2 linked regions of the Caenorhabditis elegans genome follow. The protein of the gene in region 2 purifies or fractionates together with the protein of the main gene of each other region. This does not show direct contact. Each region holds a gene or a part of one and is shown on either strand. Other genes may lie near its edges.

Region 1 (5,928 bases), on a different chromosome or scaffold from region 2:
TACCGATCATTTTGTTGTTTGGTGTTGTTTCTACCAGGCAGTGAATTTTCAGTTTTGAAGGTTGAGTTGGTAGGCACTTTTTTCAACTTTTTTTCCTTGGCTTCAAAAAATATACTTATTACGCTCTTATTTTAAAGGTGTATATATCACGGAAAGAGAAACAGTCACGAGCATTTTATTTATTTATTTATTTACTTCAATACGAGCATTCAACTAGATTCTTTCAATTTGTTCTATTTCTTTACACTTTTATAACAAAAGGCATGTAAAAAATTTAAATTTGAATCACCGCGATGACAAATTCCTTTTTTTTACTTTTTTTTACTTAATTTTGCTTATTTATTTTTGCTTATTTTTGGACTTCTCAATTGTTGATTCAAATTTCATAGCCAATTTTTTTAAATTGAATTTCCTTGTTGGGCCAGTAAGATCAACTTAATGCAAAACCCAAATAAATGATACTAAAAATATTTATTTCTTCAAACTTTGAAACAATTTGCACTCTTTATGAACCAAAAGTCAAGAATGTGGCAAACATTTGCGAGTGGAAGGCAGAGAATTCGATAAGAAGAAAACAAAAATGAGTTCTAGATCTGAACTGTTAGTTTTCACATCATTATTGTTTTTTAAACTTTTCAGATATAGTTTAATTGGAAAACTTATCATAAAATGTAAAAGTTTTCCAATTAAATTTAAAAACAATATATTCCAGTTGTTTTTTCCAAAAGCCGGAACATTTTCGGAACAAATTATTCCAATCGGATTATTTTCTATTTCATTTTCTTTTTTTTTTCTCCGAAACGTGAACTTTATGAAATCCCAATTCCACAACCCAAAGTACATATTTAACCTCCAACAAACAACACAATTCTGTTCCCTCTTTTTCACCCGTTTGCACTTTATTTCTTTTCACTCACCTCGAGTCACGTGATCTCCTTCTAAGAACTGAATTTCAAAAACACAAAATGTTGTTTTCATCCGTTTCTATTTCAGCCCTTTATGTTTTTATTGAACGGTGAAAAGATCGGATCATTTTTACACTGGCTACAATTTTATTTTTTCTCATTTGTTCGTGTATGTCATATACCTGCCTGCCTGCGTGCCTTCTTAGCCCCTCGATTCTACATTCTAACATAAAATGAGCTGGGTGGTGTACACACATGATAAATTTACGTTTATCTCCCTTTATCATTTAAATTGTTTTGTTAAAAGTTCAATTAAGAAATGGCAGGTATTTTTGTGCGTATTTGGAATAGTCATAAAGCATTTAACCAAACTTCTTTCCTGAAAATATTGTTCATTGTATATTTTCATATCTTTTATCCAAAACAACTAAATGCTCAAAAATCGCACATCTGGTTATCACGTGCGGTTAGGAAAAATAGAAATCAAATATTTAGAGTACCCAAGTTTTTTTCCAAACAAAATCTATTTTTATCGTGGTCATTTGCAAACAATTCTACACTTTGTTCACTAGACTTGAGACCAACTGTTTTTTTTCTGTTTTTTGTCCGCTGATGCTCCAATTGCTCTACCACGTGTCTGTGCTCCTATCAACTCATTGGTACCTCCCTTGATGTTTACACAAATATCTTTTCTTTCTTCTCAACTCTATCATTATTGTCTGGCCAACGTGATTCGGCTGTTTTTTTTTTTCGTGCCTAATTATTTTAAAAAAAACTTTTCTACAAAATAAGAATTTTCAGAAATCTTAAAAGCGTCCCGAAGTAGTTCAAGTTGTTTTAGTACTGGAGCTCATTAAGGTTTAGAAAAATCATAAGCTTCTGTTTTTTTTTCGCTTTTTTGTCGAAAAATTTTAAAATAATTGCTGAATTTTCATGAATTTTGCAGACTTCAAGTTTCAAAATGCCGAACCGAAAAGTGGTCAAATTCTTCTTCGATGTCATTTCTCCGTACAGTTACTTTGGATTCGAAGGAATCACTCGTCATCGTTCCGTTTGGAAGACTCCAATTCAGATGAAACCATTCTTTTTTGCTGGTGTTGTCAGACATACTGGTGAGTTTTTGTATTTTTGTCTTGAAATTTCTCTAATATCCGTAAAAAAATGGAATTAGCTTTTTTAAAGTAAGGTTTTTAAACCATGACCCTCTAACAATTCCGTTTGAAATGTCAAAATAAAAGCTTTCAATTTACTTCTGGAAAAGGACATGCAAAACCTTAAGAAGCCTGTATGTTATTATTTTCTAAAAAATGCACCTCTATCTATTTATATCATAAGGTCGGCTACTTCTACTTCTTAAAATCTGCTTTAATCTGACGAAGGGCACTAGAATAGATAAATACACTTAAATAGTTCAACAATAGTTCAACATTATAATAGTTGAACATGACATATATTAACATAATAAGACAATCCAAAAATTTCAGGATTTTTCAAAATGATCAGTGAACGTTTTGATAAGTTGCCAAATGTCCCTAAAAGGACTATTTGAAAGCAATTTCGAGACATTTGGAAAAGTGATATTTGGTAATTTTATAAGTATAGGAGCATTGATAAATAACATAATTGTTTTGAAAATTTTTTTCGAATCGTGCTAATCATCAGAAAGTTGTTTGATATGTACCTTCTAAATCATATAACTGCAAGTTTTCAGAAAACCCCGGTCTCCCACTCCGTATTCCTATCAAAGAAAAGTACATGCACAAAGATTTGCTCTTCTCTGCCCAATATTGGGGAATTCCGTTCCGTCTTCCCAAGGACTACACAAATATGATGTTGAACACAAGTTCAATCGTTCCACAACGTATTCTTGTCGCTTCACAACTCCGTGATAATGTTTTGATGGAAGACGTTGCTCGTGGACTCTGGCATCGATTTTATGCATACGGAAAACCAATTTTCACAAAAAGTCAAGTTGCCGAAGTTTTGAGAGATTTGCATGTAAAAGATGTCGATGAGTTGGTGATGATGAGTGATTCGGCAGAAGTTAAGAACATTTTAAGAGAAAACACAGATGAAGCCATCGGGAATGGAGTAGGTCATTTATTATAGGAACCCAGAAAAACACGGAATCGACGAGAAAACACGCTCCACAACCAATTTAAAACGGTCCGCCCCCTAACGATGGGTCTCGTTAGGTATTTTCCGTTAAACTTGAACGTTTTTGATTAGGCTCGACAATTTTCTAGAATTAGTCTTTCTGTTATATTTTTCGAAGTGTTTAATGATTTCAACATCGAAATGATGTCTAAGAAAATTATGTGAATTTAGGGCGTTTTCACTTATCATAATAATTTTATTTCATCTATTTCAACCGAAAAAACATCAAAAACTACGAAAAATATAACAAAATAGACGACGAACGCAAAATTCCTAACGAGACCCATGGTTTAGGGGCGGAGCATTTTCAGTTGGCCCCGGAGCGCGCTTGCGCGTCGTTTTAAAATGTTTTTTTGCTGTTTTATAATATTCTCAATTGGGAATTAAAATTAATTTTTTTCAGTGTTTCGGAGCTCCGTGGATGCATATCACTGATGGTCACGGAAAAGTACTTCAAACAGTTTTCGGATCGGATCGCCTTCCACAGGTGGCCGATTTTCTTGCCGAGCCATTCAAGGGTCCAATGAGAGAGAAGAAGCCGAACGCATAAATTGTCAGATTAGCATTCTAAAAAGTGTCTAGAATTTTATCTGAGAAAGAATAACGATTAAAATTAATTCTTTCTTTTGTGTTGGCAAGAGAAATACAGAAAACGATGGAAAAAATGTGGAAACAAAAAGACTACTAATCTATTTCACACGAGTTTCAATTTGTTGCGGCAATTACAGAAAAAAAACGGAGCAAAAAAGAAAGAGCATAAGCTAACGAAAACTTGGGGTTGGTTGGGGGGACGAAGGGTGAGAGATCTGAGTATGTGTTAGTTTTGCGTGGCCTCTGATGATTAGCCGAATATAAATAAGGGAAAGCGTAAAGGTTTGATAAAAAGTAAAAGAGAAATTTCAAGAAACGAAAAATAATATTACCGGTACAGAGAGTGTAGATAGTTAGAGAGTGACAGACATCCGGGACCCAATGGGGCGGGGCGCGCGGAAGAGACGATTTGTGTCGATTTACGAAATTTTCCTCGTTGTCATTATTTCGTAAATCGACACAAATCGTCTCTTCCGCGCGCCCCGCCCCATTAGGTCCCGGATGTCTGTCACTCTCTAACTATCTACACTCTCTGTACCGGTAATAGAGAACAAATAACAATCTGATATTTTCTAATCAGCTTTTTGAACTTTTCTTCGTGCGGCGGCGGACCTCGTTGTGATGGATGGCTCAGCGATGTTAGCATTGATATCTTCTTTTGGCTCCAGAATTTCGAAATCAACAGGCTGAAAAACGAATTATTTTTTTCCAAAGATTTTTTAAAAATATGCTCATAAGTCAGAATTTTCCAAGTTTCCCAGCAAGGGTAACGGGTTTTCCATTTTTTACTGAAATCTAACAATCGAAATGTTTTTTCGATTTTTCTGATATTTCGAAAAAATTCGATTTTTTCCAAATAGAAAAGTTAAAATTGTGGTCATTTTTCTTCTTGGAAGAATAAGTTCATATGTTTTCTTATGTTTTTTTCCATCAACATTAACAAAATTTGATGAAAATTGAATTTTATAATTATTTTCTGAACATTGCCGATTTTTCGATTTTCTTGAAACCTTTTTTCTCAGGTAAATTAAAACGAGATCGGGGAAATTTTTTGAATTATTTTCATAATTTACTGTACCTAAAAGATGCTCACCTCTTCCTTTTCCTTCTTATCTTTCTTAACTTCGGTATAACGGTTGTTTTTCTTAACATATGCATGGTAGAAGAAGTTGGCGAAAAGAAGGAAATATGTGAAATAAACTCCAAAGCATAATCCCAAATTGTCCCATGTCTGTTGGCAGTATTCACCCGATGACTTGATACGGTAGACAGTGACTCCGATGATTACTCCCATAACCATTTGAGCAAGTTGGAGAGTAGTAACAACCATTGCCATTTGTTTTGGAAGACGGAATTTCAGAGAACGAAGAGCATAGTAGGAATACATAAGAGCATGAACTCCATAATTCATCCAAATGAACCACCGTCCTGATGCAGTGTGATCCTTGTACGCGTGCCATGTGTAGATCATAACAGTTACATGATGATACCAGTGAAGGAAGATGAGTGGACGTTTACGAAGAACGATGAAGATTGTGTCGATGAGCTCGAAAAGTTTGCTCATTGCGAATTGTTCAGTCCAGAAACCAGTGACTCCTTGAGCATAAGATGAATGACAAATTGAATATTTGAATGAGTTTCCTTCTGCTGACCAACTCCATACAAATTCAGGTGTCATTCGGAGGAACCCGAGAATTGAGAAAATGGCTAAAAATGAATTCCAGACGAAGAGTGGTGTGTCCAGTTGGAAGGGCTTGTACTTTTCCATAATCTGAAACATTTGAGAACTATTAAGTGATTTTCGGTTTCGATTCTTAATTGCATTCTGAAGGCTAGACTCAAAAGTAATAACTCGTGATTTTTTGTAGATGAGAACCACCTGCTAAGCAATTACTTTAATGTCGATATATTTTCGGTTATGCTTTAAAATATGTAACGCACCTAGGAGGCTTCTGAAACGGAATTCACAGTTTTTGGGAGTAGAGGTTGTGTTTTCTATAGTAAAAACTGGTTAGAAACTACCGAATTCATGATGAGACTTCTCAAAAAAAATTCTAAAAATTTTTATGACAAAAATTCCGAAAAAGTCCAAAATTTGAAATTTTGCCAGCTTTTTCTTGTCGCTGCAGCTGGGAAACAGTTTTTTATTGATGTAATAACTTTTATTGAATATTTTGGTAATTATTCTCGCGTTAACTAGTTTCTTTTAGCACATTTCAGATTTTAGAAAAATGCGCCTCTTTTTCGGAAATTGACACGCCATAAAAATTCTTTT
Region 2 (11,224 bases):
TGCAACTTTGTTGTTCCAATTGTTTTGCACATTGAGCCAACTTGTTTTTTTTCTGTTGTTGGTGGGCTCAATGGGGTGCCGAGCCAGTGAAGCCGATGGAAAATAAAAACAAAATCATGTCAGTCGGCAGAGAATTGGTATATTTTCAGTTATTTTGCATTTTTCTGAAATTTTTATCTTGATTTTTTGCGCTTCGGTTGAGGTGTAAATTTTAGAGAATTGACAATTTTTTGAAATGAACTTTTTTTTGTATTTTCAAAATTTCGCCGAGCTACGATCCGTTAAAGTTTTCTACCGGCTTCTTTCCTTTCGTAGTATAGTTTTAAAATTTTTCAAAAATCAATTTCAGATGCTCCCACAGCTGCTCCTGTTCACAATACTCCCAATTTCGACGCTCGGTCTGGAATGCTTCACGTGTGGAGTTTTCCTGTCGGCTCCGGAGCCAATGTGTCGCGGTGAAATCCGAAATAACTCGTGTGCTCCCGAAAATCTTGGATGCTTATCGATTATTGGCCATAAAGCAGTGAGTTTTTTGCTTAAATTAGAGGAGTCACATGGTGCTAGGCTGTCCCATTACGGTTTGATCTACAAAAAATGCGGGAATTTTTTGCCCAAAAGAAATGTGACGTCAGCACGTTCTTGACCATGCGAAATCAGTTGAGAACTCTGCGTGTCTTCTCCCGCATTTTTCGAAGATCTACGTAGATCAAGCCAAAATGAGATACTCTGACACCACGTGACGAGTGGCACCGAAAAAAATATCGATGGCCGAATTTTTGCGCGTAAAATATGAGCGCTGTGAAAATATGAGCACCCCACAGATTTCTGGCTTCCCTCATAAATTGAAATGGAAGAGTTCGCCAAACTAGGCCATTTTGGCTCGGCCATAGCTGGGGTAGATTTACGGCGCGTTGCTTGTCGCGTCGCGGCTCGATTTTAGTTGTAAAACTGAATGTATTTGTCCGTGTAAAGTACACGGCTTTCCCACGCGTTATCCGGCGGGCGATTGTCAATGGAGCGCGAAAAATCAATGAGAAAGTCCAGAACCCCGTGTCGGCAAGAAAAAATTATTTCAGGACGGAACCTATTATGTAGAAAAACGATGCGCTGAGAAAACCGATGATTTAACGGATGGATGCATTAATATCGGAATCAGAGGGTAAGTCTCAAAATGCGCTCTATTGAGAATAACACCAATTATTATAATTAATTCCACGTTGCAGCATCGCCGCCAAGCAATGTTTGTGCAAAACGGATCTCTGTAATTCGAGCCCCGGCCAGCCGTTCCGCACCTGCCTCGGATTAGGACTGCTTGGCTTCCTCTACGCGTTTTGGAGAATTGTTTGAATTTATTTTTGAAGCCCTCCATGGAGCTCCAAATAATAATTTTTTGGTGTATAGGAAATTTTCACGGTTGACCTCATATTTCGACTCGTTTTGAGCATAGTTTTGTACAATAAACATTTGAATTTCTAGAAATTATATTAAATGCAGAGCAAAACATCACTATGAGCTGAGGATATTGGTATTGAAGCGATTGAAACTTTTCAACTACCGTATCCGCGAGTTGTAAAACGGTTATTGTACTTTTCCATTTTCCATCAATAATTTTGATGTCAAAACAAGTTTTTTAAAGACTTACAACGTAAAAAAAACCAAAGAAATACTTAAAATATTGAAGGGAAAATGTGAAAATTGGAAAAATAAGTTTAAAATTTACTAAATTATTGCCCATTACAGTACTCCTTAATACGGTAAGAGAAATAGTCTTGATTGTGACAGTCGCAATTTTCCGAAAAACTTTTTTCAGATAATAAGTTTTTTAATGCCTACAAATTTTTATGCTTACTTTTTAATGCCAAAATTTCAAGTTCTGCCGCTTAATTCGCAATATTCCTTTAAATACACTTTGCGCGTAAAACCAGATGCCCGGTCCGCATTTCGAAACTTACCGCGGTGTTTGCGGACTCGCGAAAAACAGATTTTATTTTCTGTGCGCAATTTTTCCATTTTTCTCCTATTTTTCTTTAAAAACGATCATAGATTTGATTTTAATGTGTGTTTAATTTAAAATTTGCTAGTTTCTTATCAATATTTCCATATTTTCCACTTTGAAAGTGTTCTTATCAGCAGAAATCAGTAGAAACAGCCAATTTTTCATGTCATTGAAATAAATTACACGGAGTCACACGATTTTTTTGCATAAATCCGGCATTATTTTCATTCAAATAGTTCTGTAGTAACGTTTTCTTCGGGCAAATAGTTGAAAAAATGTTTTTAAAAATATTATTTTCCATCAAAAACTCTGCAAACAGCATTTCATCTCGAAAGTGCAGTCCCAAAACATTTAAATGCGCCCGATTTTTTGCAGAAACGTCACAGATAATTCGTTCGTCTGACGACCTCCGTACGGTCTTCCCCGTCAGATAGACTTCCCCCATCACCATTAGCCCATATACTTTCCTTGTCAATTTTCCCACCTTTGACGTTGCAGTTCTCAAAACAAAAACGTTTTTATTAGTTTCTTTAGTTCCTAGATATTCTCTTTTACATTTTATTAATACTTTATTGGACTCAAAATTGTCTGGAAAAACCGAATTTATTAATGAAACTTCTTGAAAATTCTCAAAAATGGTTATGTCGGCGCAAAATGTGATCTAAAATTAGTTAAAACTTGAAATTTGACCGCGGCTAGAAACTAACTTTTTTGAAATCCGCCTCTAATTTTGGGTATTCAAGTTAATTGTCTTGAGTTTTCAACTCGATTTAGGTACATTTAAAGTCGATGGATCACCAGAAAATGGTAATTTCTACCAAATTTGATGATCAATCGACCTTAAATGCACCTAAATCGAGTTGAAAACTCAAGATAATTAACTTGCATACCAAAAATTAGAGGGTGATTTCCAAAAAGTTAGTTTCTAGCCGTGGTCAAATTTCAAGTTTTAACTAATTTAAGGGCATATTTTGCGCCGACATAACCATTTTTTTTTGAGAAGTCTTCAAGAAGTTTCATGATGACATTCGGTGTTTTCAGACAATTTCGACTACACACGCTCCCCTCAAAGCCGAATAATTATTAGAGCGCGCTCTAATAATTATTCGGCTTTGAGAAGGGCGTGCTACACCACCTTCAAACAAAATTTAAACACAAAAAAAAAGTGTTTTTTTAGTTTTCCATCTGCAACAAAAAAAAAGAACTCGAAAATCTCCTTGCAGCTCTTTTTAGATCGTTCCTCTCTTTGTTCTGCATCTCTGCGTCGAGTGATCTCTGCAAAAGTTGTCCCGCCGCCGGAGACCGCCCATCTTATCATCATCTCCTCCTCCTCTCCCGTGTTCACATGAATTCCCGCTGCAGACAATAATGTCAGTTGATTGACCATTTGACACACACACAAAATATTTCATTTTCCATATTATGTATTTTTGCAACAAAAAATATTTATCTGACCGCCCATCTCCTCCTCCGTGTTAATATAAAACGTGTGCCGGCATAAAAATTCGAATAACATCAGCATTTTTCATTTCTACAGGGTACCAATGGCTTCACCAGCAACGAAATTCTTGACCGATCGGGTTGCTCTCGTCACTGCTTCTACTAAGGTATTTAGCCCTTTTTTGTGGTTTTCTTATTCAAAATCTGAAAATTTGCTTCATCAGACCCAAAATGGTACAAAATACCAAATTTCGTAGTGAGACGAGAAAATTTTTTCGAAAAAAGTTGAAGATTTTAAAAAAATGGTAAATTTTCAGCTAAAATCTCAAATTTTGGCAACTTTTCAGTGTTGCAGCGGTTGAAACTTAATTTGTATTTAATTAACATTCTTTGATGCATGCCTACGCAACTTATTATTACGAGAACAAAAAATTCTGAAAATGCGTATTTCACAACATATTTGACGCGCAGAATATCTCGTAGCGAAAACTACTGTAGCGCTTGTGTCGATTTACGGACTCCATTCTTGAAAAAAAAAATCATATTTTTCGAATTTTTACACATCGATATTCAATTTTTCTTCGCTTTTTCGAATTCCGTGGTCATTTTTGTGCTTATTTTTTAATGTTTTATCCATTAATAAATTAATTTAATTGAAAAACGTCCAATATTCGCGTAATTTTGATGAGTAAACTCCTACGGGCGGCAATATTAGTGTAAAAAACGCGAGTATTGTACGTTTTTTAATTAAATTGATATATTAGTGGATAAAATATTTTTAAAAAAATCCCAAAAATAACAAAGGAATTGAACAACAACGAAGAAAAATTGAATATCGATGTGTAAAAGTTCGAAAAATATGTTTTTTTTCGAGAATGGAGTCCGTAAATCGACACAGCGCTACAGTAGTTTTCGCTACAAGATATTCTGCGCGTCAAATATGTTGTTTAATACGCAAAGTTTCGTAGACATGCATCAAATAATATTAATTAAATAAAAATTCAGTTCCAATCGCTGCGACACTGAAAAGTGGCCAAAATTTGAGATTTTAGCGGAAAATATACCATTCTTTTTCCTAAACTTTGGGCGGCCTTAACTTTTTTTGAAAAATTCATTCAGAACGTCTTATTACTAAATTTGGTAATTTTGGACTATTTTGGGTCTGATAAAGCACTAAAGGTACTCCACCTTTAAATTGATACTATTTCTAAATTGTCTTGTGTTCATGTTAGCCATCGCCTCCTCAAAAACAAAGTCATCATCATCGCCTCCTCAACTAGTATTATTGTTTTTTAGGGAATCGGGTTTGCCATCGCCAAACAACTTGGCGCTGCCGGCGCCTCTGTCGTCGTCTGCAGTCGGAAGAAGGAGAATGTCGATGTGAGTTGTGGATGAAATAATTAGAAAAAAACATAGTTTTTCCCTGAAAAAATCATAAAAATTTAACGATTTTAGCCCAAAAATATGGGTAGTACGCCTTTAAAGGTGATACAGTTTTTTTTCTACCGATTTTTTAAAAAATTTTGCAACAAAAAATTGAAAGTTTCGGCATTTTACGGCGATTTAGTTAGTTTTTCTCTGATCATTGTGGTTTGAAACATTATTGTTTTTTTTTCAAATTCTCAGTCGTTTTTCCGCAAAAAAATTTACTTGAACATAATTTGTACGGGTTCAAAAAATTAAAAAAAAATTAAAAAAATCGCAAAAATTAAAAATTGCCTATATATATATATATATATATATATATTATTACGGTTTAAAAAATTCTGAGAATGCGTATTTCACAACATATTTCACGCGCAAAATATCTCGTAGCGAAAACTACAGTTACTCTTTTAATTACTACTGTAGCGCTTGTGTCGATTTACGGGACTCTATTTTTGAAATTAATTTTTTTTCGAAAAGTGACAGCGATATTTCTGTTTGCTTCGTTTTTTTCGTATAAAATGACGAAACAATACGAAAAGAAAACGAAGGAAAATAGAATGTCGTTGTCATTTTCATTTTTCGAAAAAAAAAAATTAATTTCAAAAATAGAGTCCCGTAAATCGACACAAGTGCTACAGTAGCCATTTAAAGAATTACTGTAGTTTTCGCTTCGAGATATTTTGCGCATCAATATTGTCAAAATTTTTTGTCACCGTAATAATATTGTCGGAAAATGCAAAAATGTCGAAACTAAATTATTCCATTGTGCGGGAATTCAAAAATAATTCGGCACGTGCAGTCAGAAAGTCCCATTTCAGATTGATCCACGAAAAATGCGGGAGAAGAGACGCAGACATCTCATTTGATTTCGCATGGTTAAGAGAGTGCTGACGTCACATTTTTTGGGCATAAATATCCCGCATTTTTTGTAGATCAAAGCTAAATAAGACTTTCTTACACCACGTGATTCGATCAAAAATCATTAAAAATATAGAAAAATTGGTAAATAGAGACGGTTTTTTATTTAAAAAAACAGGAAAAATTAGATGTTTGGTTTTCGATTTTCGACACCTTGGTTATGCAAAAGCAGGAAAACATAAATATGGTTTTTTTTTTAAATTTTCAATAATATTATTCATTTTCCAGGAAGCCGTCGCCGCACTTCGCCTCGAAAACATTGACGCTCACGGCACAACAGCACACGTCGGCAACAAGTCGGACCGCACAAAACTGATCGACTTCACACTTGACAGATTCACGAAACTCGACATCCTCGTGTCGAACGCTGCCGTCAACCCGCACTACGGTGATCTGATGAAAGTCACCGACTCACAATGGGATAAGCTTCTCGATTTGAACGTAAAATCCGCATTCGAACTTACAAAAGAGGCTGTGCCGCACTTGGAGGCTTCTGGTCGGGGCAATGTCGTCTTTGTGTCGTCTGTCGCCGGATACTCACCGATGAACGAGATTGGAGCGTATTCGGTGATGAAGACGACGCTCACGGGATTGAGCAAATCGTTGGCTTTGAATTTGGCCAGGCGGAATATTCGAGTCAATAGTATTGCTCCGGGTAAGCGGAAAAATATTTGTTTTTTGGATATTTCGTGAAAAAATTAAATTTTGAATCATTGAAAATCAAAAAATTCAAAAAAATAAGTTGCTAATTTTGGTAGCCTAGGTTTTCTAGGAAAATTGATTTTTTTTTCAAAAATTTTACAAAAATGCAGTTGATCTACAAAAGTTTGAGGGGTGCGCGGCAAACGATTTTTTTTCCGGAAACTCGGCAAATTGCCGGAATTTAAATTTTCGGCAAATGGGCAAACCTGCAAATTGCCGGAATTGAAAGCTTCTGACAAATCGACAAATCAGCAAATTGCCGGAATCAAAATTTCCCGCTCATTGGAAAATTGCCTACCTGCCGATTTGCCTGAAAAATGGCAACTGCCGAAAAAATTAATTTTCGGCAAATTTGCACTTTTTTTTTTTGGAAATTCCAGAATTTCAATTTTAATCGGCAAAATTGTACGCATCCTGGAAAACGACGATTCCGGCAAATTGGCAAATCAGCAAATTGCCGGAATTGAAAGCTTCCGGCAAATTGCCAGTATTGAAAACTTCCAGCAAATTGCCGAATGTGCCGGAAATTAAAAATTGCCGGAATTGAAAATTTCCGGCAAATCGGCAAATTTCCGGAATTGAAAACTTCGGCAAACCGGCAAATTGCCGAAATTATAAACTTTCGGAATTGAAAATTTCCAGCAAATCGGCGAATTGCCGAAATTGAAATTTTCCGGCAAATTGCTAATTTGCCGGAAAAACGGCGAAATTTTCGGCAAATTGTGATTTTGCACCTTTTTTTTTTGAAATTTCAAAATTTTAATTTTAATCGGCAAATGATTTTCCGGCAAATCTACAAATCGGCAAATTGCCGGAATTGAAAATTTCCGGCAAATCCGCAAATTGCCCATATGCCGGAAAACGGCAAATGTCAATAATATATTTTGAGGAAATTCTATGAAAATTTCGAAAAGGCACAGTTTTTCGTTGTTTCCGTTTCCGTCTTTTAAAAAATCCCTCTAAAAATTTCCGGCAAATTACTGCAAATTTGCCGAAAATCAAAATTTTCGGCAAACCGGCAATTTGCCGGATTTGCCGCTATTCCTTCAAATTCCCAGAGGGGTCAGTGGGTGCAAAAACACAAACTTTAATGTCCTTGACTGATCACATTCTGTATCTTTTATCATTTAATCTTTTCTCTCTTTCTGTTATCTTGATTCGATTCGACAAAGAACAGATTTTAATTGGTTTTCGATTTTTGCCTGCTTCTGTCATAGTGTGTAGGGATTTCCCAAGCTAGCTGGAGCTCCTGAAAAATCGATTTTTTTTTTCCAAAATCATTCCGAAAAGTGCGTTGCCCACTACTTATTTTCGGATCGATTGACCCCATTTTTACCCCTCGTGCGAGCTATTTGCTCTGCGAAAGAGCAGTAGCAGGAGCAACAAAAAAACAGAAGCCACGAGGCTAACGTCTGAGTTTTAGCAAACATTTGACATATTTTCTCAATATTTACCTCTCGCTGCTTCTCTCCCACATTGACTTCGAAAAACCAAACGCCAACTCACGGGATCCCGGTGCATCGGGTACCCAGAGGAGGGTTATTTTCAAAAAATTTGAAAAAAACGCATGTTTTTCGTTTGTTTTTCAACTTTGAAACGGAAGATTTGGCGCGATCGAAAATCAAAATGTTGAAATTTGGCGATCTTTGGGAAAAAACGCCATGTGACTTGAAACATGTTGACTTGCCAAAAAACCATCTGATAAATAACATACTTAATGACCCAGAAATCATAAGGCGTAAATCCTGAGATCTAGGTAAATATAAATATTTATCCGAATTTTTGCGGAATTTTCGTGAAAACTGTTGTTTTTCCAACGCACGTGGACTCAGAAAGTTCCATTTTGCTTTGATCTTCGAAAAATGCGGGAGAAGAGAGCGCGTGCTGACGTCGCAATTTTTCTGGGAAAAATTCCCGCATTTTTCGTAGATCAAAGTGAAACAGGCTGACACCACGTGTTGTCGTTGATGGGTGACGTAGATATTACGGAAATACAAGACTATTAGCATGCGTATTGCACAAAATATTTGACGTGCAAATAATCTCGTAGCGAAAACTACAGTAATCCTTTAAATGACTACTACTGTAGCGCTTGTGTCGATTTACGGGCTCGATTTACGATGGAATATTACATTTAAGCAAAATAAAGAGAAAATAATACAAAGAAACGAAGGAAACTGGAATATAGCTGTAACTATTCGAAAATAAATTTATTTCAAAAATCGAGCCCGTAAATCGACACAAGCGCTACAGTATTTATTTAAAGAGTTACTGTAATTTTCGCTGCGAGATATTTTGCGCGTAAAATATGTTGCACAGTACGTATTCTCAGAATTTTGTGTTCCCGTAATATTGAAATATTTTTGTGAAATGCAAAACGGCGTGCGCCTTTAAAGTGTACTACGGAATTTTCATAGATTTGTCTAGTTTTCTCACGATTAGTTGAAAACTTGAGATTCTTTTATTTTTGGTCTAGCAAAAAATTACAGAAAAATTTTCTACAAAAAATATTTATTTATTTATTAAAGAGAAAATTTCAATCTTAAATTTTTAACGAATCGTGAGAAAACTAGTGAAAATCGATGACAAGCCCGCGAAAACAGGATTTTTTGAAATTACAGTACTCTTCAAAGATCGTGTCGAGACCGGGCTACCGTGATTTCGACTCAAAAATCGCAAAATTTTCGCGTCTGAATAATATCACAATGATTTTTTCGAACCACACTAAAACATAAATTTCTTTACAGGAATCATTCAAACCGACTTCTCGCAAGTCCTCTTCTCCGACGAATCCGAAAAGCAGAAGTGGCTCTCACAAATTGCACAACGCCGATTCGGTGATCCGGATGAGTGTGCCGAGGCGGTGGCGTTCCTGGTTTCCGACGAGGCTAGCTACATATCTGGAGAGACGATCGGTATCAACGGAGGCATGCACGCGCGGATTTAGAGATCTCCGGCGGTGGAAAATAGTGCCGATAAACGTTTTTTTTTAATTTTTCTTGATGAAGAATCTCATTTTTCCCCTCCACTCCCTCCCCGACACACTAAATTATGATTCATTTCAATTTTTTTGATATCCCGTCCCCCTCACGTTGTCAGGCTGTCCCATTACGGTTTGATCTACAAAAAATGCGGGGGATTTTTTTATCGAAAAGTTGACAACTCTGCATCTCTTCTCCCGCATTTTTTCGTAAATCTACGTAGATCAAACCAGAATGAGCCACTCTGATGACACCACGTCCCCCTCATCATCATCATCATGTGCCAAACCTGTGAGTTTTGCGTTGTCGTCCACCTCTTTGCAATTTAGGGTTCTTTTATTCATATTTCCTCTTTTTTTTTTGTTCGAACACAAATGACTGGTATTCTGTCATGCTTTTTTCCTCGAATTTTCCATGTATTAGCCACGTTTCATTTCTCCCTCTCATTTCTAATCAATTTAGAGTTTCTGAATGAAATTCTCAAAAAAATACAATTTGTTTCCAAAGCTTTATCAGTAGAGCAGTAGATCACTAGTTGTACCGAAAAGCACATATCGAATACAGCTGCTTATTGCAGTCAGTATTCACCCATGAATTATCATTAATCACCAGCGCCACACAATCACAACCATCAGCATCTCGTGGATATCCGGATCGCCAGTTTTGATAACTGGAATCATAGGTGTCTCCGTTGATAAAATACCAGTTTGACGAGTTGGTCGGGTCCCGTTTTAGCCCGAACCAGAACATCCCGTCACTGACGGGCGGTACTATGGCTGAAAATGGGAATTGACGATAGAGCGCGTTGGCACACCGACTCACTCCGCACTTTCTCCTCCTCTTCCTTTGTCTCGATTGATGTCAGTTTAGGAGTATGCAGGAATAATGGATGATCGGATAGGCAGAGATTTTCAGCTTCAGCGAATTGTTTTTTGTCTGAGGAGACCTGGAATATTGGAACTACTACGGGACCACAATGCGTACTTCACAACATAATTGACGCGCAAAATATCTCGTAGCGAAAACTACAGTAATTCTTTTACCGATACAGTAATCATTTAAAGAATTGCTGTAGTTTTCGCTGCGGGAAAAAAATGTGATGTTTCAAATGTGATGTTTGCACAAAATACACCAATTCGTCGAGCTGAATACACGTATAATTACGAGCTTCAGAAAACTTTGTATTGAGATTATTTGTACTTGTGTAGTATTACAGGAAAACAATATTAGAAGAATGCGTATTGTGCAACATATTTTGCACGTAAAATGTTTTGTACAATACGCATTCTCAGAATTTTGTGTTTCACAAACCCGATAGCATTTCGTATTGGCCAGACCACTGAAATATGTGAAATTAGTCGTGTCGTAGAAGCATCTGCAAGAAAAGTTAAATTTTTAACATTTGAATTTTGAGGAAAAAATTCTAAACTTGAAAATTCTAAGTTTGAAAACTAACGGGTCTGATGGATTCGATGTCGGTTCAGGGGTTGAAGGCAGCGGGAGCACATATTGGCAGAGTACTTGTCGTTTGGTACTGGTACAATTCCCGTCCGAGTACCAAAGCTTGTCGCTCACGTTCATGTAGGCACAATCCGTGTAGGTAGTTGCGTCGATAGAGGGTTCTGGAAAATCGCTTAAAATATCACAAGATGGTATTTGCTACGTGGCGGTAAAAGATTTAAAATAGATGGCCGAATTTTTCACTCTTGGAAAACTCGGCCATCGATTGTTTTTTTTCGGCCACGTTGTTGAAACGGAA

What was found. Proteins that work in one complex are often made in the same cells at the same time.
Region 1: the proteins of dhs-13 (region 2) and gstk-2 fractionate together in Caenorhabditis elegans (co-fractionation; one large-scale study listed by BioGRID). This does not show direct contact.

The regions. Positions count from the first base shown.
Region 1 is NC_003282.8:7,238,194-7,244,121, reverse strand, and holds gstk-2 (Glutathione s-transferase kappa 2), read left to right. Parts: upstream 1-1,851; 5' UTR 1,852-1,866; coding exon 1,867-2,017; intron 2,018-2,616; coding exon 2,617-2,996; intron 2,997-3,465; coding exon 3,466-3,612; 3' UTR 3,613-3,677; downstream 3,678-5,928. Other genes in the region: elo-3 (Putative fatty acid elongase 3), read right to left, coding at 4,226-4,339, 4,747-5,424. UniProt on the Caenorhabditis elegans protein: Has roles in respiratory and lipid metabolism.
Region 2 is NC_003283.11:1,764,044-1,775,267, reverse strand, and holds dhs-13 (DeHydrogenases, Short chain), read left to right. Parts: upstream 1-3,533; 5' UTR 3,534-3,540; coding exon 3,541-3,603; intron 3,604-4,732; coding exon 4,733-4,816; intron 4,817-6,010; coding exon 6,011-6,437; intron 6,438-9,231; coding exon 9,232-9,431; 3' UTR 9,432-9,957; downstream 9,958-11,224. Other genes in the region: F36H9.7 (UPAR/Ly6 domain-containing protein), read left to right, coding at 350-523, 1,077-1,159, 1,224-1,347; clec-205 (C-type lectin domain-containing protein), read right to left, coding at 9,997-10,241, 10,288-10,411, 10,777-10,840, 10,922-11,087.